Linked DNA regions of Mytilus edulis. Each later gene encodes a partner of the first gene's protein in a complex. Links are inferred from orthologs where the notes say so. Each region holds a gene or a part of one and is shown in the gene's direction. Other genes may lie near its edges. The genes, in order: eukaryotic translation initiation factor 4E-like, eukaryotic translation initiation factor 4 gamma 1-like and eukaryotic translation initiation factor 4E-binding protein 1-like.

Region 1 (10,678 bases):
AATTTTAACACAAGGTTTATTGCCACAAGGAAGGTGGGGATTGATTTTAGGAGTTTTGGTACCAACAGCTTAGGAAATAGGGGCTAAAAAAGGGCACAAATAAGCATTTTTTTGGTTTTCGCACAATGACTAGTATAAGAAAATAGAAATCTATGAAATTTAAACACAAGGTTTATGACCACAAAAGGAAGATTGGGATTGATTTTGGGAGTTTTGGTTCCAACAGTTGAGAATTAGGGGCAAAAGGGTTTAAAAATTAAACTTTGTTTGATTTCATAAAAAATTGAACTTTGGGGGTTCTTTGATATGCCGAATCTTATGTACTTAGATTCTTAATTTTTGGTCCCGTTTTCAAATTGGTCTACATTAAGGTGTTTAATTTTAACAAAAATTGAATTCTTTGGTTTTTTTTTATACATGTATGCTGAATCTAAACATGTACTTAGTTTTTATACAACCCCAAAAAAATTTTGGGATCGTATAATGGTATGATGTTGTCGTCTGCGACGTCATAGTCCGAAGACACATTGGTTTCCAGATAATAACTTTAGTTTTATTTAATAGATCTTCATGAAATTTTTTCAGAAGGTTCAATACCACAAAAGGAAGGTTCAGATTGATTTTGGGGATGATGGTCCCAACCGATTAGGAATTAGGGACCAAAAGGGGCCCAAAACAAGCATTTTTCTACTTTCAGGATAACAACTTGTGTAGAAGTATTTCATTTGCTCTGAAATCATACTGCAATGTTTAAAACCATAATTAGAAGGTTTGGATTCATTTTAGGGGTTATGGGGCCAAAGTTTAGGAATTAAGGGCCACAAAGGGGTCAAAACCAGCATTTTTCTAGTTTCAAGACAATAACTTATGTGTAATTGTATGGATCTCTCTGAAATTGTACCAAAATGTACCATATAACAAAGGGGAGGCTGGGATGAAGTTTTGGGTTAATTGCCCAAAATATGTAGGAATTATGGGCCAAAAAAGGGCCAAAAAGAGGCATGTTTCTAGTTTCCAAACAATCATGACAATAACTCGTGTTTAAGTGTATGGATCTCTCTGAAATTGTACTACAAGGTTCAATACTGTAATGGAAAGCATGGGATTATTGCTCCAAGGTGGTTTCAAAAAGTTTGGGGGGGGGGGATTTTTTGGTTTACCATTTTTTAAAGGTCTTCCTTTTTTAGCTCACCTGGCCCAAAGGGCCAAGTGAGCTTTTCCCATCACTTGGCGTCCGGCGTCGTCGTCCGGCGTCCGTCGTCGTCGTCCGTCGTCGTTAGCTTTTACAAAAATCTTCTCCTCTGAAACTACTGGGCCAAATTAAACCAAACTTGGCCACAATCATCATTGGGGTATCTAGTTTAAAAAATGTGTGGCGTGACCCGGTCAACCAACCAAGATGGCCGCCACGGCTAAAAATAGAACATAGGGGTAAAATGCAGTTTTTGGCTTATAACTCAAAAACCAAAGCATTTAGAGCAAATCTGATATGGGGTATAATTGTTTATCAGGTCAAGATCTATCTGCCCTGAAATTTTCAGATGAATCGGACAACCCGTTGTTGGGTTGCTGCCCCTGAATTGGTAATTTTAAGGAAATTTTGCTGTTTTTGGTTATTATTTTGAATATTATTAGCTCACCTGGCCCGAAGGGCCAAGTGAGCTTTTCCCATCACTTTGCGTCCGTCGTCCGTCGTCGTTAACTTTTACAAAAATCTTCTCCTCTGAAACTACTGGGCCAAATTAAACCAAACTTGGCCTCAATCATCATTGGGGTATGTAGTTAAAAAAATGTGTGGCGTGACCCGGCCAACCAACCAAGATGGCCGCCATGGCTAAAAATAGAACATAGGGGTAAAATGCATTTTTTGGCTTGTAACTCAAAAACCAAAGCATTTAGAGCAAATCTGACATGGGGTAAAATTGTTTAGCAGGTCAAGATCTATCTGCCCTGAAATTTTCAGATGAATCGTACAACCCGTTGTTGGGTTGCTGCCCCTGAATTGATAATTTTAAGGAAATTTTGCTGTTTTTGGTTATTATCTTGAATATTATTATAGATAGAGATAAACTGTAAACAGCAATAATGTTCAGCAAAGTAAGATTTACAAATAAGTCAACATGACCGAAATGGTCAGTTGACCCCTTTAGGAGTTATTGCCCTTTTTAGTCCATTTTTAACCATTTTTCGTAAATCTTTTGTATCTTTTACAAAAATCTTCTCCTCTGAAACTACTGGGACAAATTAATCCAAACTTGGCCACAATCATCATTGGGGTATGTAGTTTAAAAAATGTGTGGCGTGACCCGGCCAACCAACCAAGATGGCCGCCATGGCTAAAAATAGAACATAGGGGTAAAATGCAGTTTTTGGCTTATAACTCAAAAACCAAAGCATTTAGAGCAAATCTGACAGGGTAAAATTGTTTACCAGGTCAAGATCTATCTGCCCTGAAATTTTCAGATGAATCGGACATTCTGTTGTTGGGTTACTGCCCCTGAAATGGTAATTTTAAGGAAATTTGGCTGTTTTTGGTTATTATCTTGAATATTATTATAGATAGAGATAAACTGTAAACAGCAATAATGTTCAGCAAAGTAAGATCTACAAATAAGTCAACATGACCAAAATGGTCAGTTGACTACTTTAGGAGTTATTGCCCTTTATAGTCAATTTTTAACCATTTTTCGTAAATCTTAGTAATCTTTTAGAAAAAGCTTCTCCTCTGAAACTACTGGGCCAAATTTAACCAAACTTAGCCATAATTGGGGTATCTAGTTAAAAAAATGTGTCCAGTAACTCGGCCAACAAACCAAGATGGCCGCCATGGCTAAAAATAGAACATGGGGGTAAAATGCAGTTTTTGGCTTATAACTCAAAAACCAAAGCATTAAGAGCAAATCTGACAGGAAGTAAAATTGTTGATCAGGTCACAATCTATCTGCCCCTGAATTGGTAATTTTGAGGAAATTTTGCTGTTTTTTTTGTTATCTTGAATATTATTGTAGATAGAGATAAACTGTTAACAGCAATAATGTACAGCAAAGTAAGAACTAAAAATAAGTCACTATGACCAAAATAGTCAATTGACCCCCTAACGAGTTATTGCCCTTCATAGTCAATTTTTAACAATTTTGTTAAAATTTGAAGATTTTCAATAACATTTTCCACAGAAAGTACTGTTATAGATAGAGATAATTGTAAGCAGCAAGAATGTTTAGTAAAGTAAGATCTACAAACACATCACCATCACCAAAACACAATTTTGTCATGTATCCATCTGTGTCCATTGTTTAATATTCACAAAGACCAAGGTGAGCGACACAGGCTCTTTAGAGCCTCTAGTTATAGATAGAGATAAACTGTAAACAGCAATAATGTTCAGCAAAGTAAGATTTACAAATAAGTCAACATGACCGAAATGGTCAGTTGACCCCTTTAGGAGTTATTGCCCTTTATTTTCAATTTTTAACAATTTTTCGTAAATCTTAGTTATCTTTTACAAAAATCTTCTCCTCTGAAACTACTGGGACAAATTAATCCAAACTTGGCAACAATCATCTTTGGGGTATCTAGTTTTAAAAATGTGTGGCGTGACCCGTTCAACCAACCAAGATGGCCATGGGCTAAAAATAGAACATAGGGGTAAAATGCAGTTTTTGGCTTATAACTCAAAAACCAAAGCATTTAGAGCAAATCTGACATGGGGTTAAATTGTTAAGCAGATCAATATCTATCTGCTCTACAATTTTCAGATGAATCTGACAACCCGTTGTTGGGTTGCTGCCCGTGAATAGGTAATTTTGCTGTTTTTGGTTATTATCTTGAATATTATTATAGATAAAGATAAACTGTAAACAGCAATAATGTTCAGCAAAGTAAGATTTACAAATAAGTCAACATGACCGAAATGGTCAATTGACCCCCTAAGGAGTTATTTTCCTTTATAGTCAATTTTTAACAATTTTCATAAAATTTGTAAATTTTTATAAACATTTCCACTGATATTACTGGGCCAATTCATTATAGATAGAGATAATTGTAAGCAGCAAGACTGTTTAGTAAAGTAAGATTTACAAACACATCACCATCATCAAAACACAATTTTGTCATGAATCCATCTGCTTCCTTTGTTTAATATTCACATATACCAAGGTGAGCGACACAGGCTCTTTAGAGCCTCTAGTTTTCAAAATTTTTCAAATTTCAAATTTAAAAAAGTTTCAAGAAGAAATCTCCAATTGCACAGTATTGTGCAATAGATTTGTTACATCTTTGACTACATTAATTTTGTGACAAAAACCTATATTATGTCAAAATTTGATCACAATCCAAATTCAGACAGAATCAAGCTTGAATATTATGACCAAATTTGCCCCAACTGTTCAGGGTTCAACCACTGGGGTCGTACAAAGCTGTGCCCTGTGGAGCACCTGGTTTGATTATGGGCCCAGTTTTCAAGTTGGTTCTAATCGGGGTCCGAAATTAAACTTTGTTTGATTTCAACAAAAATTGCTCAGTATTACACAATAGCAAGAAATCTTCAATTGCACAATATTGTGCAATAGCAAATATTTTCAATTGCACAGTATTGCACAATAGCAAGAAATATCTAATTGCACAATATTGTGCAATAGCAAGAAATTTTCAATTGATTGGAGTTATCTTTCTTTGTTCAGAATAGTAGTTGAATCAACTTAAATCATTGTTTTATACAATATACAATGTATATTCACTTTTACTACCAACTGATAAATTAAAACAATCTTAGAAATTTGAATTGAGATCAGTTTTGGAAAAAGGGAAAGGGGAAAGGGGGATGTGAAAAAAAATGGGGGGGGGGGGGGGGGGGGTACATTTTTCTCATTTCAGATTTCATAAATAAAAAGAAAATTTCTTCAAACATTTTTTTGAGAGGACTTATTCAACAGCATAGTGAATTGCTCAAAGGCAAAAAAATTTAAAGTTCATTAGACCACATTCATTCTGTGTCCGAAACCTATGCTCTGTCAACTATTTAATCACAATCCAAATTTAGAGCTGAATCCAGCTTGAATGTTGTGTCCATACTTGCCCCAACCGTTCAGGGTTCAACCTCTGCGGTTGTATAAAACTGCGCCCTGTGGAGCATCTGGTTCAAATCTTTTATGGTGAAAAAATTATAATCACATGTGCAATTTTATTGTTTTGTTAATGTTTAAATTGTAGAAGAATCTAAAGATTTAGGTCTTGATAGATTGATGTAGTTCAAAAAAACAAATTTGGTTAGGAAGTAGGACAACCTACGGTAAGTTTTTCATTCACATGTCTAGAAATGATTGTCATGCCCAGAAGGGATATTCTTGTCAGGTCACAGTGGTTGGTATGCTGGTACATCTGATGTTCAGTATATAACTGTCTTACACAGGATTATAATATGCTATACCACCTGAGTCTTGGCTCAAAAATACGGGTAAGAGGAAAATGTTTTAAAGAGGTATTTTGGGGAATAGACTTATTTAACACCAAGGAATTTTGACAGCCAGTCTAATGTATGTCTATTAAGATTTTATAGCTTTTTCATACATATTTTCTTTTTGAGATTATGATTTATAGTTATACATTTTTTATATCATTTTTGAAAGGTCTTATTTAAAAAGCTCTTAAACCCTAAAAAGACCTTATATTCATACAGAATAAAAGACTTTTCTTTGTCAGATTTTAGTATTATTTGCGAAAAGTACTTATTTCATATGTGTTTCTCTTTTATAAGTTGTATAAAATTGCATTCATGGATTACTTGAAAGTTACAGTAAGATAAAGTTATTTTCACTTACAAATAATGAATTATGTATGCATTTATTATTTTGTTGGATACATATGCATTTGTAGGTACAGAACAAAATATAAAATTTCAATTGAATTATTTATTTCTTGTCTTGAATTGAAATAGAGACTTTTTTTTTTTTTTTAATTTGAAGGTACACAATGTAGAGCTATTTTGTAAATATTGACAAAAGAAATAAATCTGCTGATTTTGTTAGACATTGCTTTAATTCATTTCTCCATAAATGAAAAACTCTCCATGACTGTATTTCTTTACTTTTAAATGAAAATTTATTGTTATGAAATGGAAAGTTACAGATGACAAGTGACTGTGATTACAAAATTCTGACATGGAATTGAGGTCTTCAACCTTCTTGGGAGATTTATTTTTAGTTCATTACTGGCCAAATTTCAAATGGACATGGTATTCATTCTGAACAATAAGATACTATTTACATTTATATTTCAGGAGTTACGGAATGACACAGAAGAACAAGTTGATGAAGTAGAAGAAGTTGAAGGCGAAGAAGATGAATCTTTATCACCAGAACTCTTAATCAAACATCCACTTCAAAACAAATGGGCCTTGTGGTTTTTCAAAAATGACAGAACGAAAGAATGGACAGCGAATCTAAAATTGGTTACGGCATTTGATACTGTAGAAGATTTCTGGGGGTAAATTATATATTTATTAGTTAAAATTTTAATTTAAAACTTAATTTCTAGTAGAAGTGAAAATAGAATTTAAAAGTTTATAGAGCAGAGTATTAGTTCTAATTGTTTATTGCGTAATTTAAAAAAATAAATTTAAATGGAAATTCCATATTTAGAAAAGAAAAAAAAAGTACAGTTATTAAGATAAGGCTGTGCATAAAAGTGATTTTATAATTATACCATACTCCATAGGTGGGGGTTTATACACATTTACTTATGTCTGCCTGTCTGTTTTTCCATCCATAAACTTCTGGTGAACCACTCGCTTATCAATGAATGGCCATGTCCCATTTTTCAAATCAAAGCTTCTTAAAATTGGTATCAAGCTATTTGTGAGCTATTGCTATATTCTATTAAGATGTAAATAAATACATACAGGTAAATATTTTGTGAATTGTAATTATTGTTTTAGTTAGGAAAATTATTTTAATATCAATTTTAGAATATTAAAATCTTATTAGCATACACAGTCTTTAAATTGTTAAAGCTGCATCTCTATAGTCAACAAAACAAAACGAAAAATTTGTATTTGAAAGTGCATGTTTTTTTCATTAATGTCAAATAAGTTTTATATTAGAATTGCATTAAAAGTAAAATTTATTGTGAAGTAAAATGAACACATGAATGCACTGTAAATAAAATAAATATTAAAGCAGTTAGTATTTTAATTAAAATGCAAGTCACAAGTTATTTTTGTGATGGTTAAGCATGAAAACTGAGAGTAAAGGTATATAGTAGGTATTAAAATAGAATTTATCTGTCAGAAATGGTTGTGTTGTGACTGGGTTGTCAACATTTGATGGATTATACCATTTAGTGTGACATGTCTTCTAGCCCACTAACCTATAAACAATTATTTTGTTTATTGCACAATGATGAGGAAATCTTGCAATCAATAATGTCCAAATATGAATTATTGTAAAATACTGATATTGGAGCTATTTTAACATGTTTAATGACAGAAGGCTATTATAGGGAAATGCTTGTTTTAATATGTTATATTTATTTATTAAAATTTCAAACTTTGCTAGACACACCCAGAAAAATAGAAAATTAACGTCATGTCATACCCATGATGTCAAGGATATCTGTATTATTATTTGGATGCTTATTTACATTCCCTACCACCCTTGCCTCTTGGTAAATAGAGAAAAAGAACAATTAGTAGAATAACAATATAATCATGTTTCTGAGTTTGAAGCTCAAGTTTGAAGTCAAACTTAACCCGTAATGTTGTTTGGTTATATTAAAAGACATTCAATTTCAAGTTGAAGATTGTAATACATTTACATTTCACTTGGACAATGTGTTTTGTAAACACAGATAATTTATTCTGATTTTAACATGTACAATGTTGATAATTTTAGATTATATAACCATGTACAGAAAGCAAGCAAATTACCCTCAGGCTGTGATTACTCATTATTTAAGGTAAATATTGAAGGAAAAAGAAATTATTTTCTTGTTAGCTTTTATTACATGTATAATTTAACTCTATATGTTATAACATCTACCAACCTGTTATATGATGATAGTATGTGCGTACCTGATCAGATAACATAGTCTGTCATATTTAAAGATCTACATACTTACATTAGAATTTTTTTCAATATAAAACATACATATATTCGGGAAATGGACTACTTCGAGCAAAAAAATAAGTCTGTATGATACGGAGAGTAATCTGAGACTCAAGTCACAACCACAATGTCTAAATCTAGTAAACAAAATGTTGGTGCCAGTACTGAAAAAAAGCTTTTTATTATTCAATAGAACAGTCAGGACTCTACTTCGTCAAAATTATCTCCCCATTACGCCAGTTCATTTTCACATTCGTAGAAATGGAAGCCATTGTAGGGATGACACGCTGCCAATTTTGCTCTTGGCAACCGACAAATTTATCCACATTGCACCATTACGATCCTTATATGTCAGTTGTATTTTTAAAGACAAATGTATCAACTAGCTAATGAGCATTAGTTAACGATCTATTGTCTGATCGGTTGTCAGGTGGAATTTTCGAAAATTCATAAACATTAAAAAAAATTTGAATTAAATATTTCCTGGAAGGGCAGACTAGATTTGTTTAGTGATTGAAGACTATAAACCCTAGTTTTCACACACAAAAAATTATAATTTTTCGAAGATATGCATTTTCATCATCCAACTTGAAAGACTGTCGTCAAGTACTTTCAGTAAAAAATAGCTATTCGAACACACCTACTCTGTTTTTGTGATTCATTAGATAGGTATTTCACTTGACCCATATATTTAATCTTTTAGTACTGTGATTTTTTTATGTTATAAAGTCGACCTGTAGCTTTGATATATAAAAATGATAGAATCTGAAGCGAGACGATGTATGAAATATTCTTACTTTGTACGATATCAAGACAAAATATTCAACTCAAACACGCCCGAACATAAAAAGGTGCACTCGATTTTCTCTTTTTGATGCAATTGTTACCCATTTTTTGAAATTTTTTCTTGAGTCACATAATGGAAGGGCAGACACGAAAATTACTGAACTAATAGATTGATATGTTTTCCGTCCGTGGTAATTTTTTTTTATGCATTTTCTACATCCAACTTGAAAGATACCCATGTCGTCGACTTGATATCTAATTGTTCTGCTTACCTATGTACTAAATAAATTGAAAACTTATGCAAATGGTGTTTTCAAAATAAAACACTTCATAATTGAGAAGAAAATTGTAATTTTGTTTGTTTCTATTAACTTTTAAAATTTTTGTCACTATAGTAAACATTACAGTAAGCATTTATCGCCTTCTCTAACAAAGAGCTTCAATTCTTTTGTTCTATTTCAACCTGGTTTCCGACTGAGAATGGTCTCCTTTTGCATGATTCTTAGAAATCTTAGAAACAGCCATTTCTACAATTATTAGATGCCACTATTTAGACATATCACATGTACAAATATTTCTGAAATGCATTAATATGTGGTCCCCACAGTCACAAGGATGATTCGAATTTGAATTAGGCTGTATTGTTAAAGGTCTGTTTGCCATTGATGGGGTTATTTTGATTATCCTGAATTTACAAGTAAACATTTGTCCTATTCATTTAAGGATGGTGTTCAGCCAATGTGGGAAGATGATGTTAATAAAGATGGAGGAAGATGGTTAATTAATTTAGAAAAAAATAAACGATCAACAGATTTAGATAATTTTTGGTTGGAAACAGTAAGTATTTTAATACATGGACTGGTCAAGTATCAGAAATAAACAGATTTGCATTCATTTTCTTAAACAAAAAGTTTTTTGGTAAATACTTATACTTGATATTTGGGGCATCTGAAGACTTGCAACCATTGCCTTTAGATAGATTAAATATGTGGTTAAGGCCTTAAGTTTGGGACATTGGAGCACTTTTCCTTGAGTATACCCCTGGGTATCATCATTGAGCAGTAGCTGACAGTTTCACTTTTTATTTATTGTTTTGAATAAACTCAGCATCTGTAATTTTCTAACACAATTATCAAAAAGTGCAAGCTTTTGCTGTTGCTTGCCAGCCATCGGTCATTGTATTGTCCACTTTTATCTTACTTTAGAAAAAATCTGAAATATAAGGACAATACTGAACATTTATCATTTAAAGTTAGGATATAAATTTCATTTTTTACGATGCTTCATAAGATACATGTATCTTGGTGGGGAAGATTTAAAGACAATCCAGAAGGAGTCACGTTTAGATGACCTTCGTGTAAATTTTTGATCGACTGTTACTTTCTAGCTGACACTTTCATTGGAACATTTTTTAATGGAAATAGATACAAACCCATTGAAATAAAATAGAAGATACTGCAGGTATATATTCTTAAATCATATCGAAATGACTATCTAATATTTAATTCTTATTTCAGTTATTATGTTTGATTGGTGAAGCCTTTGAAGATTTTAGTGAAGATGTTAATGGTGCTGTTATTAATATTAGGAATAAAGGAGACAAATTGAGTTTATGGACGAGGGATAGTAGGAGACAGGATGCTACCATGAAAATAGGGTACATATACACATAGCAGTGCTATAAATTTGTGATGAATGATCCAATTTTGATATTTATTAATCATAGCACATGTCATTATACAATAGAGTGATGATATCGCATAAACTTTTGATCACTTGATAGCAGTGGATTA
Region 2 (10,806 bases), on another chromosome or scaffold:
TAGGATAGAATATCAATAGTAGTAGCAATATCAATAGTAGTAGCAATAGCAATAGGATAGAATAGCAGTAGCAAAGAATGGCAATAGCATTATCATATTAAAGCAATAGCAATAGCATTATATAGAATAGTAATAGCAATAGCAATGCATCACAATACATTGCATTGTACAAATTTTTCATGGTAGAAGACTGTGTCCTATCACTCTTTCATTTTTAAGAAAAATAGCATGTCAAATTAATCACATATAAAACTCATTATACGACACTTTATCATGTTTATTAGATAGCCAATGATATTCAAATAAATTATAAATGAACTATTACTCATTCACATCTAAATAAACCTGCGAGTACCATATTTGGTTGAAAATATTTTAAAGGCACTGGCAGACAAATAAAAATCTTATGTGAAAAGATAATCTTATTTCTGAACTCAGTTTATACTTACGGTGTACTAACAAATACCCATAATGCAATGGACAGCAATCCAAAAATATCAGATGCATATTCATTTGAATTTGTCACACAGTCACCAAGTAACACATACAACCATCGTACTCCATCACTACAGTTACCTTTTGTCAGGTTATGTATGCTGTCATAGTGATGACCTCCAAGTAACCATGGATACAAATGTGGCATGTTTAACAATGCCTGAAATAAGCATAAATTTATTAAAAGCAGATAATTATGCAGGTATTTTCACAAAAAAATTGTTTCATATTCGATACAATATCTAAGCATTTACAGCATTATACTTATACACAAAAGAGTAAACTACATTCTCAAAAGCTTTTTTTAAAAAAAAGCAGACAATGGTTGAAATGAGACATTTATTTAAATAATTTTAAAATTGTACAGATTCAACCTCCTTATCACTCATATCACATCATCTTTTCTTTATATTTTTTCAGTAACTTCATGAACTGATCATGAAGTTCCTGTATGAATTCTTCTCTGAAGTATATATACATGTAGTTGATACAGAGATATATCTAGCCTTTCTGCTTTAAAGTTCAGAACTGAAAATCTGATGGACAGCAACATTGCTAATTAATTCAAAGTAGCTGGACAAGCTAGTGGTCAGGGCCTTAAAAGAGTTGACAAATTGAGATGTTCAGACAGCAATGTAAATTTGTAAATTAGGCCATTTATTTTAATGTTTGAATTGTTTTATATTTGTTATTTCAGAACCTTTTATAGCTTGCTATGCAGTATTTGTTTTGCTCATTTTTGAAGACTGTATGTTGACTTAAAGTTATTAACTTGTTTTCCTTGGTTCTGGAGGAAATGTGTGTTGCTGATAATCAAACTAAATCTTCTTTATTTCTATATTACATGAAAAAATTCCATACTTGAAAAAAATTATATATAAACACAAGCTTTATATGCTTAACCAACATTTTTAGCAAGGAATAAAAATATTACCTTGCAATGGCAGCTGGCAAATTGGCAACTACAGTCTTAATTCAATCACAGTTTTCAGATTAGCATGGTTTTATATCCACCATTAACCGTCTAATAAAAAAAATTAAAAACAGATTATCATTTATATCTAAAAACTTGATTGAAATGGCTACTAAATCATGTTCACATTAAAATGCATGTTAAGCCATTTCAATTGATATCTTATAGTGTGTTTTCTATGTTGTGATGTTCCACTATAAACGTATTTACACTTTTGGTATTTAGCTGAATTTTGTCTCCAAATGACCGTAGATCGCCTCCGAATAACCTTTTGACGTCAAGCAACAATCACTTTTTCATGCGACGTCAAATTTTTTGAATTGTTATGTCAAAGTTTACAGGAACCTGTGTGATTCTACGTAATGGCGTACAAATTTGCATACAAGTTTAAATACGTCTATTGTTGCGGGTAAGGGTGAAGGTTGGTACTAATTAAAACGTTTAAACCTGTTGCATTTGTTTGCAGCTGTCCGAAGTCAGGGACCTGATATTCAGTAGTTGTCGTTTGTGTTTCTCCTTTTTGTTTATTTTTACACTAGATTCTGTTAGTTTTCCCGTTTAAACGGTTGTACACTTATAATTTTTGGGGCCCTTTATAGCTTACTGTTAAGTGTGAGCCAAGGCTCTGTGTTGAAGATCGTACCTTGACCTATAATGGTTTTCTTTTCCAAATTGAGACTTGGATGGAGAGTTGTCTCATTGGCTTTCAAACAACATCTTCTTATTGTGCATTCAGTTGAGAGAATTATAGATTATCTTTGATCATCTCAACGAGATTGATTTTCTCGCTTGAGCCGGGATAAATGATAATCTGTTTGTCGCTATTTTACCTATGACGACATTGTCAATTTCATGTCAATTTCATTAGTAACGCCACATGCCGCCTTAGTTTCTAGCGATAATTTTCCATCTCAAGCGAGTAGCATGATATGAAAAATTATCACAAAAAAAGATCAAAGGAAAAATGCACAAAATAGCAATAATAAATGTTAATGCAGATGTATAATAAATATTGATGACTATATATATATATATATGTATGTAAGAATGTATTCCACAACTGACTGACTTGGCTGAGACATGTGAGACTGACTAAATGGTAACCTAAAAAGTCACACCAATGGGGTTTGTGAAACAAAAATTTTGAACAGATATATCATGTTAAGGAGGGGTATTTGCGAAAAATACCAGTCGAGAGAATGTAAAATTTCTCGAGCCGTAAGGCGAGGGAAATTCATTCTCAAGACTGGTATTTTTCGCAAATACCCCTCAATAACATGATATATCTGTTTAATTACACCGAATGTTAATATACTAAAACGCATTGTTGACCGTGACGTTACAAGCGTCCAGTCGGATAGAGTATTTTTTGCAAATACCACGGCAGAGAGGGTAAAAAAGGCATATCCTTTTAGCAAATACCCCGGCGGCGTTAAAAATGAAGGATATTCATTTGATAACAGTAAATTGGTGAAAAATACTGGCTATCAACCAATCAAAACCCCGGATTCTTACATAAGGTGTAATTAACAGTGAAATTTCCCCATAACTCTTGAAGTAAGACTTTTAAAAGTAGAGAGAGAAAAGGGAGGAGGAATCTTAGACCTTTCATCAGCACTAGTCTTTGGATTAGTCAGAAATTTCTGTGTAAAGCAAATATTTAAATAATGCTTCATTTTGATAATTCACTGGCTCTTACACCATATTTCAAAAAAAAAAAGAGAACAAAAATACAACAAAACTTTGTCATTTTCATTTTAAGTATATTCTTGATTTGGTATTAGATATGTCAAAGTGTAGATACATGTATTTACGCACATTTATATATATATCTCTATTTTATTAAACAGTACATTTTTAAATATATATCTTGTGGCAAAACATATTATGCATATACATGATATAGTACCTGTGGTCAATTAAAATCAATAACAATATATTTTGGTAATTTATTACTGTACATCTATACATGTATAATGTCCTTAATTTAACTAACCATTGACCTAAAAGGTCACAATTAAATAATAGTATTCAGGTCATTATGCAAAAAATGTTCTAAATTATCTAACAAAAAATTGTTGTGGGGTTGTTTCAAAAGCCTGTTCACACATGTATAAATATACTGGTCTGGTTGCTAAATTGAGATCTTTAACAATCCAATGGTAGTTATTATTTTTAATCACTTGAAAATTATATAATATTGGGAAATATTTTTTAAATACTTTAATTTAAGTTTATGCTGTTTTATTTATTTTTTCTTTTGATACTGATATAATACAAATAAACATCTTTAGACGAAAAAAACATTGATTATGCATTTTTTATATCTTAAAGTAAAGTTAGCTACTATTTTAACTTTTGAAGGAATTTACCCCTAAAAAACTTAAACAGATCATAATGTTAGTAATTTCTATGGTTTTTTTTAATATATAATGCAAAAGTATAAGAAACTATTTACTTAGAAGGTTTTCTCCTTTTAAATCATAAAACAGCATGCTAACATTTTCTCAAATTTTAATGCATGTCATCCATTTTCCCCTTGAAATCAAAATATCTACTTTTTAAAAGATCTAAAAAAATCATATGTCATCAACTCTAATATGAAAAATATGACAATATAGATTATTTCAAGAAAACCAGTTACAAAAACCAGTTTAATGGTCTAGTGAAGACAGTTATGAAATATGACCCCTTCCAGGTCAATAAAATAACAAACCATGTAATCGAATTTTACATAATAAATCATCTCCATGCCAGGGGTCATGACCTTATGTAATTAGCTATCCTCATGCTAAGTATGTCCTCAACATGACACTTCTGTCAGTTCCCTGCCCCATGGGGATTGCAAATATACTTCCTGGAGATCTTACACTGATAAAATATTAAAATCAATAATACCCATTCATTAATTGCCTGCTAAAATATATTTGGTTAATTGTTCTAATTGTATCTCTGAAATTTGTGTCCTGCATTAGTCGTCATACTGTGAAATTTTAAGTTATTTCAAGATTGGCCAAATGGACACTGTGGAAGTACTGATAATATTGACCATATAGTTCCAGGCTAACATATTTAAAAGAGTACAAATATGGAGAGGCTGATGCAATAGTCCTGAGGGCTGTATAGCCAGTCAAGGTCATTAAAAAAAATTACAATTTCTAAAAAATATTTAATCAGACTGAAAAACAACATTAATAATAGTGAAACAGAGTTTTTTTCTCTTTACAAATTTTTTAACTATCGTTATCTGGTCTCAGCTGTGTGAAAAGTTTGAAAATTAACAATGCAAGTTTATGCAATCTTAAAATTTACTGACGACAATATTCACCTATATTCTTGCAATATCCCTTTACATATATTATAAGAAAATATATTAAATACAAAGTTGAAAATGCATTGAAATGAAATCTTGAAATGAAATCTTGAAATGAAATCTTGAAAAGTCAAAATCTCTGACCACAGACATGACAGGACCTCTGTCATTATTTGGTTTCTTAATATCATAGTTCTGACAAGACAGACATGGATAATTGCTCTGTGAGAAGAGACTATTGATATAAGCTGTCACCTGTGTTTACTTTCTTAACATACAATTCCTTGATTTTACCAAACAGTGTTGGAGAGTTTGAAGTTTTAAGCACGAAAAATTTAGTACATGTAGTACTCTAGCATGTCTAGTAATGCACAATTTTTTTTCTAAATCCTTGTCCCATGTTAAAAAAAATTTCTTATTATTAATGGACCTAATGAAAAAGACAGTCACAACCTATTTATAAAAGTATAAACTATGCAATTACATGTATTTTAAGAAGCAGCTAATACCCTTGTTGAAATCTTTAACAATGAATGGTTTGATATTGTCATGATTGTAATAAAATAACAACCATTTGTGATATATATATTTTAATTTATTTATATAATTTGTCTAAATATTAGCCTAACCAATGTTAGATTTATAAATTTGCTTTTGCAAATTTGTTGTTCTTCCCTTGTCGTGATTCAAACTCATGAGATATTGTGGCACCAAATCGCCTTGCACTATGCACAACGCTCTAAGACCACTGAACCAACTAGGCTATACAAAAATGATAGGCGGTGTTGTCATAGAAGTATGAAGTGAAAAGTACAGGTTCCAGCCCCGGCTGGGGAGGAAGAAAAGAATCAAATCTACTCTAACATCATGAACATTGTTAGGTTGATTTTCTAGGCACTTCATATATTTATATATATACACGTGTATCAACAAATCAACAACTTGCAACATAGACACCGAATCACACATGATAATTGGATCTTAAGTAATTGCAACTTATATTAGTCCCTCTCCACTTTGCCGGTGTGAGTGCTTCTCTTTTTTTGAAATCTACAAGAGTGTCTTTTATGCGGAGGCGGATTTAGAGGGGGGTCAGTGGGGCTCCCCCTTTTGAGAAAAAAATTTGGTTGATTATATAAGGAATACACCTTAACGCTATTCCCGGCTGACCCGGCCGCTTGAACTTTTGACGTCAACAACAATCACTTTTCGATTGTGGCTCAGATATTTTGTTTTATGACGTGAATATTCTACGGGAACCTATGTGATATCCAGTAATGGATGACAAATAGCGATAAGGTGTATCGTGGGGCCCCCTCTTAAGCAGCCAGTGGCCCCCACTTACGAAAAATTCTAGATCTGCAACTGTTTAATATGTGCAAGAAATATGGCTCTCTCTTAACACGGGTTAGTGCTATAACATATGACTTCACATTCTTATTCAATATTTAACGTTTGTATACTGATATTTTCATTTTTTTTTCTTTTTTAATGCGAATGTTTACGGTCTTGTGATTGTGAGTGTACCAAATACCCCCCTTTTTCTTGCACTCAACCTTTTTAACGTTTCAACGATTTCTCTTTACCTTCATCATTTGTCACTGATGTCAAAAGATCATGACAAAGAAACTCAGATTACCTTCTGTTATTATTAATTACTTTAAATCCGGAATTTAAAAAAAAACACTGACTAGTTGCAACTTCAAACAACAGAATTTATGGTAACCTTTGACCCTTGCCGGTAACCTCCGTAAAGTAACCGGAAATAGCCGAGCTACGTCTCCTTGCAGACCCTTAACAAGGTAGCCATACTTATTTACATGACTACAATCTTATGCCATCGTTGATTATCTGACCATCATAATAATCTAAAAACTAGTGAGTATGAAAATTGAATACACGAACTCTAACAAAAATGATTTTGTTTCAATTTATGTAGGAGACAGAGCTTGGGAAACAAGCATCGGAAGGGTCCTTTTCCAGGACTAAACCGCTTCCTTTTCACGTTGAATGAAATGTCGAATGTACCAAAAGTGAAATCACCTACACCATCTCAAATAACAGGACATACACAGCAAAGAAGTGTAACGTATCCTTTTTATGCATAGTCAACAATTTATTTTATGTACTACTTGGGTTAATTCATTTTATTTCATGTCAGTTTGCACGAGAACAGATGCCGGTTTTTCGTCCTGTCACGTTTGCAGTTTTCGGGACAACTTGTGTGAGAAATATCCAAGTTTATTGAACTATTGATTGCACATCTGATTTAAAATTGTGTTTTTGTTGTTTGTTTTGTTTTTTTCTGTAACATAATGTTCCGACAGCTCGTTATGAAGGCGGGGCTTTTCGAACGAGGAACCACATTCTTTGAGCGTGCACATATCACATGACATTAATTACGACATCATGGAAAAGATGAAAACACGAAACAGTGTTACAGTGTGTTATCAACAGTGTTTAGTTAAATATCAAAATGAATTTGGAAATTTTGGAATGTTTCTTGTGAATTTTCTTTAAAATAACCCTTAAATGATATTTAGGATTATTGACATGTGGTGATGTGTAATATTTGTCAGATATTGGATATTTGCCAAATACACAAATTATTAGTAGATACACAATAGTCTTTGTTATAATGATGAACAAAAGTGAAAATAATAACATACAATGGAAGCTGAATATAATGAAAAGCAACACTGATTAATAGATATGATCAAATTCCAGAAAGAAAGTAAGAATTCTTGTTTTGTTGTTTATGATGCCTTATTTATTGTACATTTGTTTGTTACTCCCAGTTATGGTTTTATATATAATTTCTTTATACCAGTAGCAGAGATATTTCTTTTTCTTTTATGAGTATTTTGTTGTTACATATTTTAACCTCAATCTGACCTGTATTTGTATAGATCTGTGTTCAGGGCATTTTATTGGAAAAACAGGCATTTTCAGAAAGTACAATGTCAGATTTATTTTTAGACATTGTCACATTATGATAAGGTAAAAAATAAGCTTTCAATTTGGAGACTACTTGGCATATCTACATGTATGTAATGTTAAGGTAATTTGAAGTTGCATCTTATGGAAGTAAAAATCGTGTTTAACATTTCCTGTTACGAATCTAACCAATCTTACCAACTTATTTTTTATGTACATACACACATGTAATTTAAAAAATGAGCTATTGGTTATTTGTTAAAAAAAATCTGATATCCAACCTCTTGAAACCAGTTTTGGGCAGTTTTTAAAATCTTGATTTTTGTTGGTTGACCTTATATGTAGTACATGAAACTGTCCCTCCCGATTATTAATCTGATTGATGGAACCTTAAAAATTGTTCACATTTGTTACCATGTCAGCTTTAAAACCCTTCGCCAATATTTAGTTCGTGTTCTTTAATCCTAAGAGAACAAAATGTCATTTTAATGTTAGATCCAACCTTATTCATTCAATGTTTTAGTTCAAGAATATTATAATATCTACAAAGTGTAAAGATGATATGTCCATGTGAATTAATGCAATTACATAACAGGTATTTCCACGTCAATAATAGTTAAAAATAAGGTATATGCACATCTGCAAATGTATTTAAAAAGCGATATGATTCTTAAACCTATTCCCTTTTGTAGCTCATGCTTTATGGGAAATTGTGTCAGTAAAAAGGGTAAGTTTATTCCCTTTGTTCCTTGTATGGTAGGGTGTCAGAGATATACTATTCTAGATTAAGAACTTGTATTATGTTGCGGGTACCAGGTTGCAAATTAAAAGCTTTGTTGTGCTAGCCTAGAAATGGGAAGATTTAAATATTTAAACTCATAGTCCTTTTCCTTAACCTTATACAGTCCAAGAGGAACACCAAATTATAACAATTGTAAGTATATATGTTTATGGTACAGTATGGCTGCATGCTTATTATAGGATCTGCTTTAATTAGAATATTTTCATTCTTGTGGGGGTAATATGGGTTTATATTTTGTAGTATCTGGACTTGTGCTCCTGAGTAACCTACGATGAGGAAGTAACCTTTCCATCGATCTGTTACTTTGCTCCTCAACTGTCAAAAGCTTTATGTTGTCACCTGGGTATTTCAGCTCACTCTCGGTATCTGTAATTTTCCATTTTGATCTTTTATAAGACGGACAACTATTTTTTTTTTTTTTTAAATAATGGAAGCATGTATGATCGACTTTGTAGACTAAAATCATATTATTTCGGAGGAACAACTTTTTGTGCAAGCTTCACTTCAATGCATTGTAACACCAGTGTACATCATCAGATGAAGATTGCAAAATTAGTTGTTTCATTAAAACATGATGATCTTTTGTTAATGATTTATCCGTTGGCACAGCTAGACTGATAGGACATCCATACCACACAGATGTTATGGGAAGAAAATTGACTGTTAAAAAAAAAGTTTACGTCTGTCTTCTGAGTTACATGTACCACATACCCATACCCACCAGCTCAGGATTAAAAAAATCTCTATAGGCCAATAAATTGAACTTCATGCCCAGGGCCAATGGATTCTAAAGTTGTTCAAGATTCTGCTACATACATAGAATATGTGTGTATTTACACATGAGGAATGACCCCTTGCGAGTTTGTGATACTTGTATGTCTCGCAGACATTGTCCAAAAGATCAATGAAATAATGTTAAGGCATGATTTGTTTTAGGGGTACCACAAGAGGAGCAAGTACAACAGCAACAACAGCAGCCACAGTTTTACATTTCTCAACAAGGGTATTTTAATCCACAACAGGTGCAACAGGTATGTATCGATGTGTATATTTTGTTAAGAGCTGATTGCATTGAGTAAGTAGGTAAAGGTAATAACTTTGGTTAGCTTGCTTGCTAGCTGAACCATAGCCATTAGTAGGTTAGGTAAACCACCCTTCTTTAAGAGTAGACTAGTCCGACATATAACCAATCTATCTGTCTGTAGGACACGGCTACTAACAAAGGAGGGTAGTATATTTTAACTAATTATGACTTCACGCTTAACCACAAGTCCTACAGCAATGGCTTGTGAAATTCTTCTCTTCACGCCAACAAAATCCAACTAAAAATTTGTTAAAATTGAGCTTCAGGCTTGTGGATTCAAATGTTTAGCATGAAGACTGGAGCAAGTAAGCTAGCTAAAGATATTACTTTAACTTACACACTCAATGCAAATAAAATGTATTTTTTCGTAAGAGAAGCATTGAACTTATTATTTGTATTTATTATAATTTTTATGTACTATTTTGCCATTGATGTTTAACACTTGATTTAATATTCAAAAGTTAGCAGAATATATTTATATGTAATATTTGTACTAAATGAGACAATTACCTTTTTTTGCTCATGTGTGAATTGTAAGTTGTACTGTGCATAAAAATTAGAAAAATATGCACTTATATTGGGAAGCTCTTAATTAACATCTTGGATATAAATTTCAGTTTTCTACTCTAATCTATTTGATGCTGCATGATGGGGAAAATATGAAAAAAATAACGTGTTATCGCGTATGAGATAACTGTCCACCAGACCAAATGATAAAATGGGTATCTACTTTTTTACAGCAATTTCTTCAACAACAGGTGAACCCACAACAGAACTATCCCCATGATATAAGTAAACAATTGAATAATCAACAGTTGGTACAAGGCCAAGCCCTGGCTCAGCAACAAAACATGTATCAACAACAACAACAAAGGACACCAGCAGTATGTATATACATTTGTAGCTTACAGCATAGTTCCTTGCATGGTCTGCTCTACAGTAATTAAATTGCTTTTATGCTTTTGGGCAGCTTTTTAAATCAAGATAAAATATTTTAATTTTACAGAAAATTACTTTGCAAGATTAATAGTTTGAAGTTTAATACATGTACATGAATTATGACCTTGAACTAATTATTCCTCGTAATCATTTTTGTACAATCTGAATCAAAGGTTTATGTCGTGCAAATTGGTAAATATTATTCCAAAAAGAAGATATTTTGCATTCACAAGTTTGTGCATTATATAAAACCTCTTCTTGAC
Region 3 (10,402 bases), about 1.3 Mb from region 1:
TAACCATACATTCAATCTAAGATTCTTTCATCTTTCAATATTATTACAACATTTGACTTTTCTACACTTAACACATGTATTCTCCATTCCATTTTGTTTCATTTCATCAAGAAAGAATGACTAACGTAGATACAAGTATCTTGTTATAGAGAAAAAATATTTTCACTAAAAGTTGTAAAATATCAGTCTAATTTAACAGAAAAATTATCTAAAACTTACATTATGAAGAAGCTTGATTTCTTGATTGACACCATATGTATTACACCTGGAAGACGATTTTTTTCAATAAACAATCGGCACTCCCATGGAATCTAACTGTGCTCCTCTTCTGTCGACTGTTTCATTTATTCATATGTGGCTGACTTCATACATGAGCTTCTAAGGGAGAATGAAATGATACTATCATTCTTCAACTTACTTTCTGCTATATAGATGGTGTCCTCTCACTAAATAATTGAAAGTTTGATCGACTATCTTGAACTGTCACGCGGCATCTATCTCATTGAACATGAAGTATATAGGATACAATAGTTACAGTTAAATCTGCCACATATCTTGACTTGCATTTAGGTATTGATATTGAGGGACAATACGGTAAAAGTAATGATTTCAGATACCCAATTGTGAATTTTCCATTTCTGTGTAGCAACATTCCACTGAGCAGCGCATGTATGTGTAGTTTATATCTCCCCGGCCAGTTGATACGCTAGTCCATGACTGGTGTTCCCCATCGTGATTTTCTTGATAGATAATTACATCTCACAAGGAAGCTATTAAACCAGGAGTTTTGATTTATGAAGCTGATCTTTGTCGCAATCAAGGTTTGATGTCGGAAATGTTCCAATTGTCTTAACCACAACCTTGTCCTCCTTTCCCACGAATGTGACCTACCGAGTTAAACTCAACACCGGGCTTGTTATTTGGTAGGGTTTGTTGCTCAGTCTTCAGCTTTTTATGTTGGTTTTGTATTTTATTGTTCGTCTGATGTGTTTGTTTTTTAGGGAGCTACCATTTGATTTTTATGGGGGGGCTAGGATGAAAAATTTTGTCCTGCATTTTTTTTTAGTTGTAATCTCTGTCCTGCCTTTTTATTTTTCACTCTGTTCGGTCCTGCCTTTTTTTTTTTTTAGTTTATCCTGACTTTTTTTACCTAAATTGTCATCCTGACTTTTTTTTTTTGCAAGTGTCTCATCCTGCCTTTTTTTTTTACTCAAAATTCCTGTCCTGCCTATTTTTTTCAAATTTCATCCTAGCCCCCCCATAAAAATCAAATGGTAGCTCCCTTATACGACCCCAAAAAAATTTTGGGTTCGTATAATGGTATGATGTCATCGTCTGCGTCGTCTGCGTCGTCGTCCGAAGACACTTTGGTTTCCGGATAATAACTTTAGTTTAAGTGAATAGATCTTAATGAAATTTTTTCAGAAGGTTCAATACCACAAAAGGAAGGTTGGGATTTATTTTGGGGATGATGGTCCAAACCGTTTAGGAATTAGGGGCCCAAAAGGGGCCAAAACAAGCATTTTTCTAGTTTCCAGACAATACCTTGTGTGTAAATGCATGGATCGCTCTGAAATTGTACCACAATGTACCATATAAAAAAGGGGAGGCTGAGATTAAGTTTTGGGTTAATTACCAAAAATATGTAGGAATTAAGGGCCAAAAAAGAAGCATGTTTCTAGTTTCCAAAGACTTGTGTTTAAGTGTATGGATCCCTCTGAAATCGTACTACAAGGTTCAATATTACAAAGGAAAGCATGGGATTGAGTTTAGGGTTATTGCTCCAAGGGGGGTTTCAATAAATTGGGGGGGGGGGGGTCTCAGTTTACCATTTTTTTAAGGGATTTTTTTTTCCAACATTTTTCAAATTTCAAATTTTGAAAAGTTTCAATAAGAAATATTCAATTGCACAGACGTTAAGCACGTTATTGCGTCAATGCCGTGAAATACGACAGAGCAATTTGATAAATAGCTCTTCTATGAAATCTAAATAGTTCAGCTTTATGAAATTTATATCCATTGATTAGGCAGGTATTACTGTTTCCAAAAATATAAAAAAATACTCTTTAACTTTTCATAATAGTTTCAAATAATGATACAAATATTGCCAAAACGTCAAAAATATGCGTGTCAGACGTAACAAATTATTCGCAAAATAACTTTTGCGGGAATTTTTGTGGTCTAAAAAAGACTTTAAAATATGCGAAAATTCGCATGAATGATAAACGTCATATATCATTTATTTAGAATATGGCAAAGTGCTCTTGACCAATGATATTGTAGAATTTGGTGTCTCTTAATTGTGAAGAATGAATGTAAATCATGTTCTTAGTAAGAGATTATCCTATTGTGCAAACCTACTTACAATTCAAAACGAAGAGATTCTATAAATGAGTTACAACTGCCCTAAAGCAGATTTACCTGATTGAAATGAATTATAACAGTGATTGGATTTGACTAAAAGTTGCATTGTGAAACAAATAAAAAATCAAAATAAGTTAAGAGGTTTACTACTGCAGTAAAATTTGTGCCCCGATGATAATGTTATGAAAATAACTAGCTTCAATAAATTTATCTAAAAATAAACAATAGAGAGTAATAATTTCCGATAAAAAAACCCTCATAAAAACAGAAATTTGATTTAAGGTGGTACCTAACACTACAGGGAGATAACTCTGTAAAATCAGCTAAGCGTTTTAATCACGTTGTATTGTTAAGGAAATATAAAGCTTCTCAATGATCAAAATTAGTGTTTTTCAAACTGCAATATTACCAATGAAATTTTTCTGATAAAATGGTTGGTCCAAATTTTTTTGAAATTTTTATATTTTTGTAAAAGGGTCAAAGTAAACATTTTGTCAAAATTTTATGAAAATTAAACGAGCCAAATTAATATTAGTCAAGGTGTTGAGTACCACCTTAAGATTAAAAATTTTGAAGGCATTTTATTAGAAATTTTCACAGATATAATAAAAAATTGTTTTACTGAAGTACTGACTGAGGAATAAAATTTGCTGTAACTGAAATTTATTTATTGATTGAAACTGTAATTAAAAAAAGATAATTTCTTTTCCAAAACATTATAGGATTTACATTTACATTTAACCATGAAGAAAGGGATTATCATTCTCTTACATATACATAAGTTTGATGTTAGGTGCAGGAGGCACGAGGAAAGTTTTGGCGGTTTTTATGGGTGGGGTTTAAAGGTACTATATAAAGTTTGGGATTTAAATGTATTAGTATCGAAGGTGCTCGCAGTTACGTCGGATTGAAGTTGGTCACATAGGTATATGTGCAGTTGCTGCTATGATTATTGTACGTACAGGCGTTGGAGGCATTAGCCGGGGGAAAAGAAACGATGCGAAAGAGGAACAATGTTATATGTCATGTGTTTATATAATGTTTCGATTGAAGAAATATGTACAATTCAGTAAAATAAAATATTGTATCGCAAGAGAAAATAAGATGTTACTGCGAGCAACTAATCCTATATCTGTGTTTGTCTTGTTTATAGCCTATTGAATTAGAAATTAAATGCTTTAAATTCGGACGAGCAGGGCGAGGGAGAATTTAAATACATGTGATATATGGGCTTACGTATTTTACGAAATAAATATGTCCACTATTAAATCTGCTTACAAATTGAGGTTCACTAGAAATGGAATAAAGTATAGAACAAATGATATACACAGAAGTCCCATAAAATTCTAAATGGCGGAAAACTCAAAATCAGCATTTTTAATTTCCTATGGAATTTAACATGGGTCAGTCAGCGGGCCCCCCTTAGGAAAAGTTCTGGATCCGCCACTGATAACATTTTTGTGTCGTTGAATGTTCTGTATTTCGGTCATAGTTTTTGGAATGAAAATCATAAAATTTGAAACAAATATAGTCTTTCAACACAGGCACTTGTCTCAGGAATTTGTTTCCTATAATAATATACCTTAATATAACAAGTGTTATAAAAAGTGTTATATTATTATAGTATTAATGATCGTTAATGAATGGGTGTTTTTATAATGGCCCTGTTATATGTCCAAGGTCTGTAATAATGGTCGAGGAAGTCTGTAATGGCCCGAGGCTACGCTGAGGGCTATTACAGACATCCGAGGCCATTATTACTGACCGAGGACATATAACAGGGCCATTATAAAAACACCCATTTCTTATATAATACATTTATTAACCAACTGTACAAAAGTGTATGTGTTGCTGCTAACTTGATGTACTGTCTTACTCTTTTAATGACAGTTTAGTTTGAACAAAATAAAAAACTGGGCATTAATACAGCGCCATTACAGAAAAACAGGGCCATTTGTAACAGAAAAAAACAGGGTCATTACAGAAAAACAGGGCCATTACAGAAAAAAAACAGGGCCATTACAGAACATATGTAATTTTTAATAAACAGTCACTTTTGGAAATAATGCACTTAGTTGGTTAATAAAAAGGTATATTAATTTATAGCAGAGACATATGTATTATATGTCTCTGATTATATAACTCGAATAATTCAAGCCCTTTCCGTGTCCGATTTTCTCCCACACGAAGGCTTGAACTCTTTGTGATCATTGGCCGCGTCGCCTGCTCTCTGTGAGAGAGAGCCAATCAGCGGCGATCAGGATATGAGTCGGCGCAACTCTCTTGAAATTGTCTTACCAAACACGTGTGTTCAATTAACACAAATCCGATAATAATTAATTAACATCAATTAACATCAGTTTACATCATTTATCATCAATTAACATCCGGAACTCCTCCTTCTTTAGCTGCCAATTTAAATCAAAATTCCCATATTGCAAAGGGGTGTGAATTTTCCGGTTGACGGTCTTGATCGAGGAAGACGTTCAGGCGTTAATGTAGCCTTCGTAGATCAGCGGAATATAACGACTGAATTATTCGGGTTACTGATTATAGGAAATTTTTTTCTGAGAGACTAGTGCCTGTGTCTTTCAAGGACAATAACTGTCATAACTTCTACCAAGGAATGGTATATTTTTAAAATATACAATGAATTCCATGCTTCTGATAGGGATCAATAAAACAACAATGTAATCATTGAAATACTTTGTGTACTAATGTTCTTTGTTTTAATTTCGTGTAAGTAATTGGGACTAATAGTGTTTAGACATGTGCTTTTATTTTTATGAGAGACATATAAGATCATATAATGTAATACAATACAATTTTTTTTTTCTATTTCAAGTATTAATAAACTATTTTAAATTCAACCGCCTCACGAACTATACAACGTAAACAAGGAAGATGACCACTTCGTTTACCTCCGTAGGTTCGTCGGAAATTACGAGGTCAACTTGCCATGTGACTTGTTTGTGTTTTGGTCGGAGGTTAACGCGAGTACAACATTCTACAGACAGACAGAAGTGAAGGAGACAAGGCTTGGACGTATTTTTAAACACTTTTCGTTAATTAATCTTAATATGTCAAAATCTGGGTCTCCTCAACAACATGTTAAAGGACAGAGTATTCCCAGACGAGTAGTGTTAAACGATTTATCACAGCTCCCAAATGATTACAGTACGACACCAGGCGGTTCGTTATTTTCTACAACTCCAGGAGGTGAGCGCATGTCTTCTTTTATAGTTTTATTTATTTCCAGTTTAAGATATTATTTGCAAATGCATGTCTGGAATAGTGATATAAGTTGTGATACAGTATGCAGATTTTGTTGTTTGTAAACAAGCATGTTTATTTCAAAATGGCGACTTACTAATGTTTTTGCAGCCATGTGACCCATATTATGTCATTCATGATTTAGGTCACAGCAACTCTGCCTCATAAACAGCCCAACGTAAAGTTTTGTAATGTTTATTTAGTTAACATTTGAATATGATTATCCTTAGAGTACAAACACACAGTGGCAACAAGTTGTGTATACTAAAAAGATAATATAAAATGTCAACAACAATATTTTATACATCAAGGATTTGTATAGACTATAGTATATTTTTTATATACATTTACATCTATACATGTTTTTAATGTAAAATTTAAGAGTTTTGCCTTTTCAGAATAATTGTGCTGTGAAGAGATCTTTTTATTAATAACCAAACTGGGGCTTGACATGTCATGTACATGTAGGATTTGTGTATATAGAATAGATTAAATATGTTAAATTTAGTACATACATGTAATAACAGTAACAGTTATTTGAGTAAACATACTATCTGAAACATGTACTTTGTTTTGTCACAAAATTAAATAGTAATGATGCAACAATTTCAACCCCTCAAACTTGCTTATTGAACTCTGTTCAACTATAAATAGATTGACCTAGTAATTTAATATATATATAGGTCAATCATTGTATTGTGGGTACATAATGATGCATCAATTTGGTCATAAGTCTTTTAGGGGTAAATTGTAAATAAATGTGTATGTATTAAACTGAATATTTATCTGTTCATGCTATTGAGTAATTACATGTACATGATGCTACATGTACCTTATGTAATTGTACAGTAGATATGTTATCATTTCTTTAAATAACAAATTGCAACACTTGTCCTCATTGATTAATTAAAACAGGAGTCATTGACCTGATCTGCTTACTTATATATATTTATGTATTAATACATGGATTTAAACCAGAGCAAGGTGTTTTTTTTTCTCTCTCTAGTTCTGATATGACAATTATTTGATAGTCTAAAAGTGAAGTAGTGGACCGATGAGTAAACATGAATAAAAACTTTTTAATATTATTCAGGTTCACCCTTGAGTATGAAATTTGGTATAGTGTTAACATCTGTTATTTCTCATGAGTCATTTTACTATTATATCATTCATTGATTTGAACAATGGAAAATAAATAAAGCAGAAATAAACATTACTTAAAGAAATTTTGTTGTACATGTATTTTCCCAGGCATGTTTTCAATTTTCAATTTTCTGATTTTAAATAACAAATTGACAGAGTATGCAATGTTGTTGTTTATGAACAAATGTACACGATTATACATATACTGTACATGTCATTGACCTGACTTGTGGGAAACATGTAATTATGTACATGTATCCTTGCGGTGAACACCTCCTTACTGGCCAAGGCTTACGGTACTTCACTATCTCTTTAGTAGTAGGGACAGGTTAATAGATAACTTTTGTCAGACCAAAAATTTGTAAGAAATCTCTATTTTATTTTCTTTTATTTCTTCACTGTTTATTTACATAATAATAAACACACTGGTTTTTGTTTGTACATGTATAAGCAATGCTGAAAAATGACAATGATCATGACCAGTGATTGCCTTGGTAAGTGCATTTGTTGGTACAAGTCAACATGGTCAAGGAGAGTAAATTTTTTAAAAATTTTTTTTGGTTAAAACTTAGAGTTTTCATAATGTGTGTACTATGAATTTTATTAAGTTGAGATCGTCCTATTTCATTTTTAGGAACAAAGATTTTTTATGAGAGGAATTTCTTGATGCAGTGTAGGAACTCCCCACTAACTAGAAGTCCTCCACCAAATATGGCAAAGATTCCAGGGGTTACCTGTCCTGGGGAGGTTGATGTCCCTAAAGAAAATGGCACAGAAAATATCCCAGCTCAGAAAAATAGTAAGTACATTCTAAATAAAAGATGAAATGAAAAATAATTGTGTCGAACTGTTATTATAAGTAAGAGATTAGAATACTTGTAAAAATTTAACAGGTCCATGTAATTTTAACACTTCCGCTCAATTTATTATAAAAAGACTGTGATGAATCTACATTAAGTTAAGGAACAGAATTTGCTAAATTTAAATATATATAATAGAAATTAGGAGATGTGATATGATTTCCAATGAGACAAATATACAGTGTATAAAAGACCACTTGACAAAAGATGGAACATTAATTACAGGTCACCAAAATGAGCAACAACCCATGTCGTATTGATATATATATTTACTATATATAATAGTAAATACTGATAGTCCTCAGGGGTGTAAACATATACAATATACACACACACAAGGTTATTCAGTGAAAATCTTCCTTGTTGGTCATGATTAACTTACTAGAACAGTCATTCAAATTGTTTAGTACATGTGATTAAAAGCTGTTACATTACAGTGACACATTAGCATGATAGAAACAGTCTAGTAAATAAACTATACAGACATTTATTTTAACCATTGCAGTAACTAAACTACACATGTACATGTATACCGAAATTTATTTTAACCATTGCAATAACTTAACTACACATGTATACCGAAATTTATTTTAACCATTGCAGTAACTGATCTACACATGTACAAATGTATACCGAAATTTATTTTAACACCATTGCAGTAACTAAACTACACATGTATACCAAATTTATTTTAACCATTGCAATAACTAAAAAGTAAAAACACAAAAATACTGAACTCTGAGGAAAATTCAAAAAGGAAAATCCAAAATCAAAAGTCCAAACACATCAAATGAATGGATAACAATTGTCATATTCCTGACTTGGTACAGGCATTTTCTAATGTAGAAAATGGTGGATTGAACCTGGTTTTATAGCTAGCTAAACCTCTCACTTGTATGACAGTCGCATCAAATTCCATTACATTGTCAACGATGCATGAACAAAACAAACATACTCAAGAGTAAAATGTCAAAAATAGGGGTATTCAGCAGTCAATATTGTGTTATCATTTCACATCATTAAACTACACATGTATACCGAAATTTATTTTAACCATTGCAGTAACTAAACTACACATGTATACCAAAATTTATTTTTACCATTGCAGTAACTAATTACACATGTATACCGAAATTTATTTTAACCATTGCAGTAACTAAACTACACATGTATACCGAAATATTTTTTAACCATTGCAGTAACTAAACTACACATGTATACCAAAATTTATTTTAACCATTGCAGTAACTAAACTACACATGTTTACCGAAATTTATTTTAACCATTGCAGTAACTAAACTACACATGGATTTTGAAATTTGTTTTAACCATTGCTGTAACTAAACTACACTTGGATTTCGAAATTTATTTTAACCATTGCAGTAACTAAACTCTACAGAAATGTATTTTCAACATTAAAACAGCTAAACTGTAAACATTGTACAACACTTTCATTTCCAAAGTGCAGTCACAATACTTTTAAAACACTGTACAGAACATTAATATAACTATTAATTACTATTTTCCACTGCAATTAATGTAGACTTTTTATGTAGTTCATGAATTTGTCAAACTCTAAAAATGATATCTCACTACCATATAGCCTTTTGCACTATAGAATCCAAATAATATGATTGTTAATAAACAACACACATAAACAATATCATATTGTAACATTGACAACTAAGAATCTACCATGATGTAACATGCTGAAGCCAACATCAATCATGAAATAAATAGCGTGAAGAAAAATTCATTCACCACTTAAATATCATAACTGTAGTCTTATTTTTCTGTGATCTATTTGATACTAGGATAGTTGTAGAGTTGCAGACAAAGTTAATTTTACTACAGAGAAACAAAAAACAAGAATGGCATCACTTTTAAGTAGTTAAAAGCAATAATATCACTAAAACATGTACCTTGTTTGAAACCCGTTATTTTATTTTTTAGAAGCACATGAAGACCAGCCACAGTTTGAGATGGACATTTAAATCACTACCCATGATGCCTTTCACTGACATATCTTCTATAGATATTTTCCTTATTTAGCAACATCATACATGTAATAATGACGATTTCTGAGCTTATTTTCTTATTTTTCTGTGATCTATTTGATATTAGGATAGTTGTAAATGAGTGACACTGTTACATGTACATGTCACAGCAGTTGACAAGTCCATTTTAGGAAGTAGAGTCATGGCAGACGACACATCCTTATTAGGCATTGTTATTAGGCTGTTGAGAAGTGGTAACAGAATGTTCTCACACACTGTATGTCTCAAAAGATTGATACTGGAATCTGTTAAGTGCTAAAAAAATACTTGTTTTGAATGGAAATCATGTGTTCAGATTAAAGTGCTACTGTTAGGTTTTACTAATGTATACACAAGGAATGATAATTCAGCAATAATATGAATTTGGTCAAGTTTCACATAATAATAACTCTTGTTTTATATAATGTCTCTGAAGTTTTGTAGTTTTGATAATCAGTTTGTTTTCTAAATAATCTGTCTACAATACTTCAGTTCTGCAAGGAATTGGGTAACAGTTCTGCAAGGAATCGGGTAACATCATGAAGGTGTGATTTCAGAGATATGTAGTCATGTTTTATGATATCTATTGTTTTAATAAAGTTTGTAAACATTTTATTGTGAGCTTTTCTTCACCAGTGCATAATGTTATCAATTACTTGAAAATGTTTGTCAACTGAGATATTTCTGTGACTAGGTCATCTTCATGCAGATTTATCTGTTTAGGCA

Evidence for each region.
Region 2: the proteins of eukaryotic translation initiation factor 4E-like (region 1) and eukaryotic translation initiation factor 4 gamma 1-like are in contact, whole or in part, in a crystal structure (PDB 5T48), measured with the Drosophila melanogaster proteins. The link is inferred for Mytilus edulis from reciprocal best matches to the Drosophila melanogaster genes eIF4E1 and eIF4G1. Residues at the interface, in NP_001261626.1 of Drosophila melanogaster: Lys80, His81, Pro82, Leu83, Met84, Val113, Trp117, Tyr120, Asn121, Leu174, Asp175, Leu178, Ile181, Gly182, Glu183, Ala184; in NP_001137857.1 of Drosophila melanogaster: Tyr605, Trp610, Pro612, Lys619, Gln620, Tyr621, Arg623, Leu626, Leu627, Leu629, Arg630.
Region 3: the proteins of eukaryotic translation initiation factor 4E-like (region 1) and eukaryotic translation initiation factor 4E-binding protein 1-like are in contact, whole or in part, in a crystal structure (PDB 4UE8), measured with the Drosophila melanogaster proteins. The link is inferred for Mytilus edulis from reciprocal best matches to the Drosophila melanogaster genes eIF4E1 and Thor. Residues at the interface, in NP_001261626.1 of Drosophila melanogaster: Lys80, His81, Pro82, Leu83, Met84, Tyr91, Ile107, Thr108, Val113, Glu114, Trp117, Ser118, Leu119, Tyr120, Asn121, His122, Ile123, Lys124, Pro125, Tyr135, Leu174, Asp175, Leu178, Cys179, Ile181, Gly182, Glu183, Phe185, Asp186, Ser188; in NP_001285588.1 of Drosophila melanogaster: Lys51, Leu52, Ile53, Tyr54, Arg56, Phe58, Met59, Lys60, Leu62, Arg63, Ser65, Pro66, Leu67, Ser68, Gln69, Thr70, Pro71, Pro72, Asn74, Val75, Pro76, Ser77, Cys78, Leu79, Leu80, Arg81, Thr83.

What each region holds. Positions count from the first base shown.
Region 1 is NC_092352.1:11,377,951-11,388,628, reverse strand, and holds the start of eukaryotic translation initiation factor 4E-like, read left to right. Parts: upstream 1-5,335; 5' UTR 5,336-5,416; coding exon 5,417-5,452; intron 5,453-6,274; coding exon 6,275-6,480; intron 6,481-7,886; coding exon 7,887-7,950; intron 7,951-9,608; coding exon 9,609-9,722; intron 9,723-10,402; coding exon 10,403-10,542; intron 10,543-10,678. UniProt on the Drosophila melanogaster protein: Recognizes and binds the 7-methylguanosine (m7G)-containing mRNA cap during an early step in the initiation of protein synthesis and facilitates ribosome binding by inducing the unwinding of the mRNAs secondary structures.
Region 2 is NC_092356.1:41,477,497-41,488,302, forward strand, and holds the start of eukaryotic translation initiation factor 4 gamma 1-like, read left to right. Parts: upstream 1-6,526; 5' UTR 6,527-6,583; exon of another isoform or gene 6,584-6,659; intron 6,660-6,720; 5' UTR 6,721-6,796; coding exon 6,797-6,870; exon of another isoform or gene 6,871-7,493; coding exon of another isoform or gene 7,494-7,515; intron 7,516-8,410; exon of another isoform or gene 8,411-8,420; coding exon of another isoform or gene 8,421-8,445; intron 8,446-8,623; coding exon 8,624-8,652; intron 8,653-9,456; coding exon 9,457-9,551; intron 9,552-10,344; coding exon 10,345-10,488; intron 10,489-10,806. Other genes in the region: lysosomal amino acid transporter 1 homolog, read right to left, coding at 450-643.
Region 3 is NC_092352.1:10,080,010-10,090,411, reverse strand, and holds eukaryotic translation initiation factor 4E-binding protein 1-like, read left to right. Parts: upstream 1-5,299; 5' UTR 5,300-5,444; coding exon 5,445-5,583; intron 5,584-7,414; coding exon 7,415-7,579; intron 7,580-9,593; coding exon 9,594-9,634; 3' UTR 9,635-10,289; downstream 10,290-10,402. UniProt on the Drosophila melanogaster protein: Repressor of translation initiation that regulates eIF4E1 activity by preventing its assembly into the eIF4F complex. Hypophosphorylated form competes with eIF4G1 and strongly binds to eIF4E1, leading to repress translation.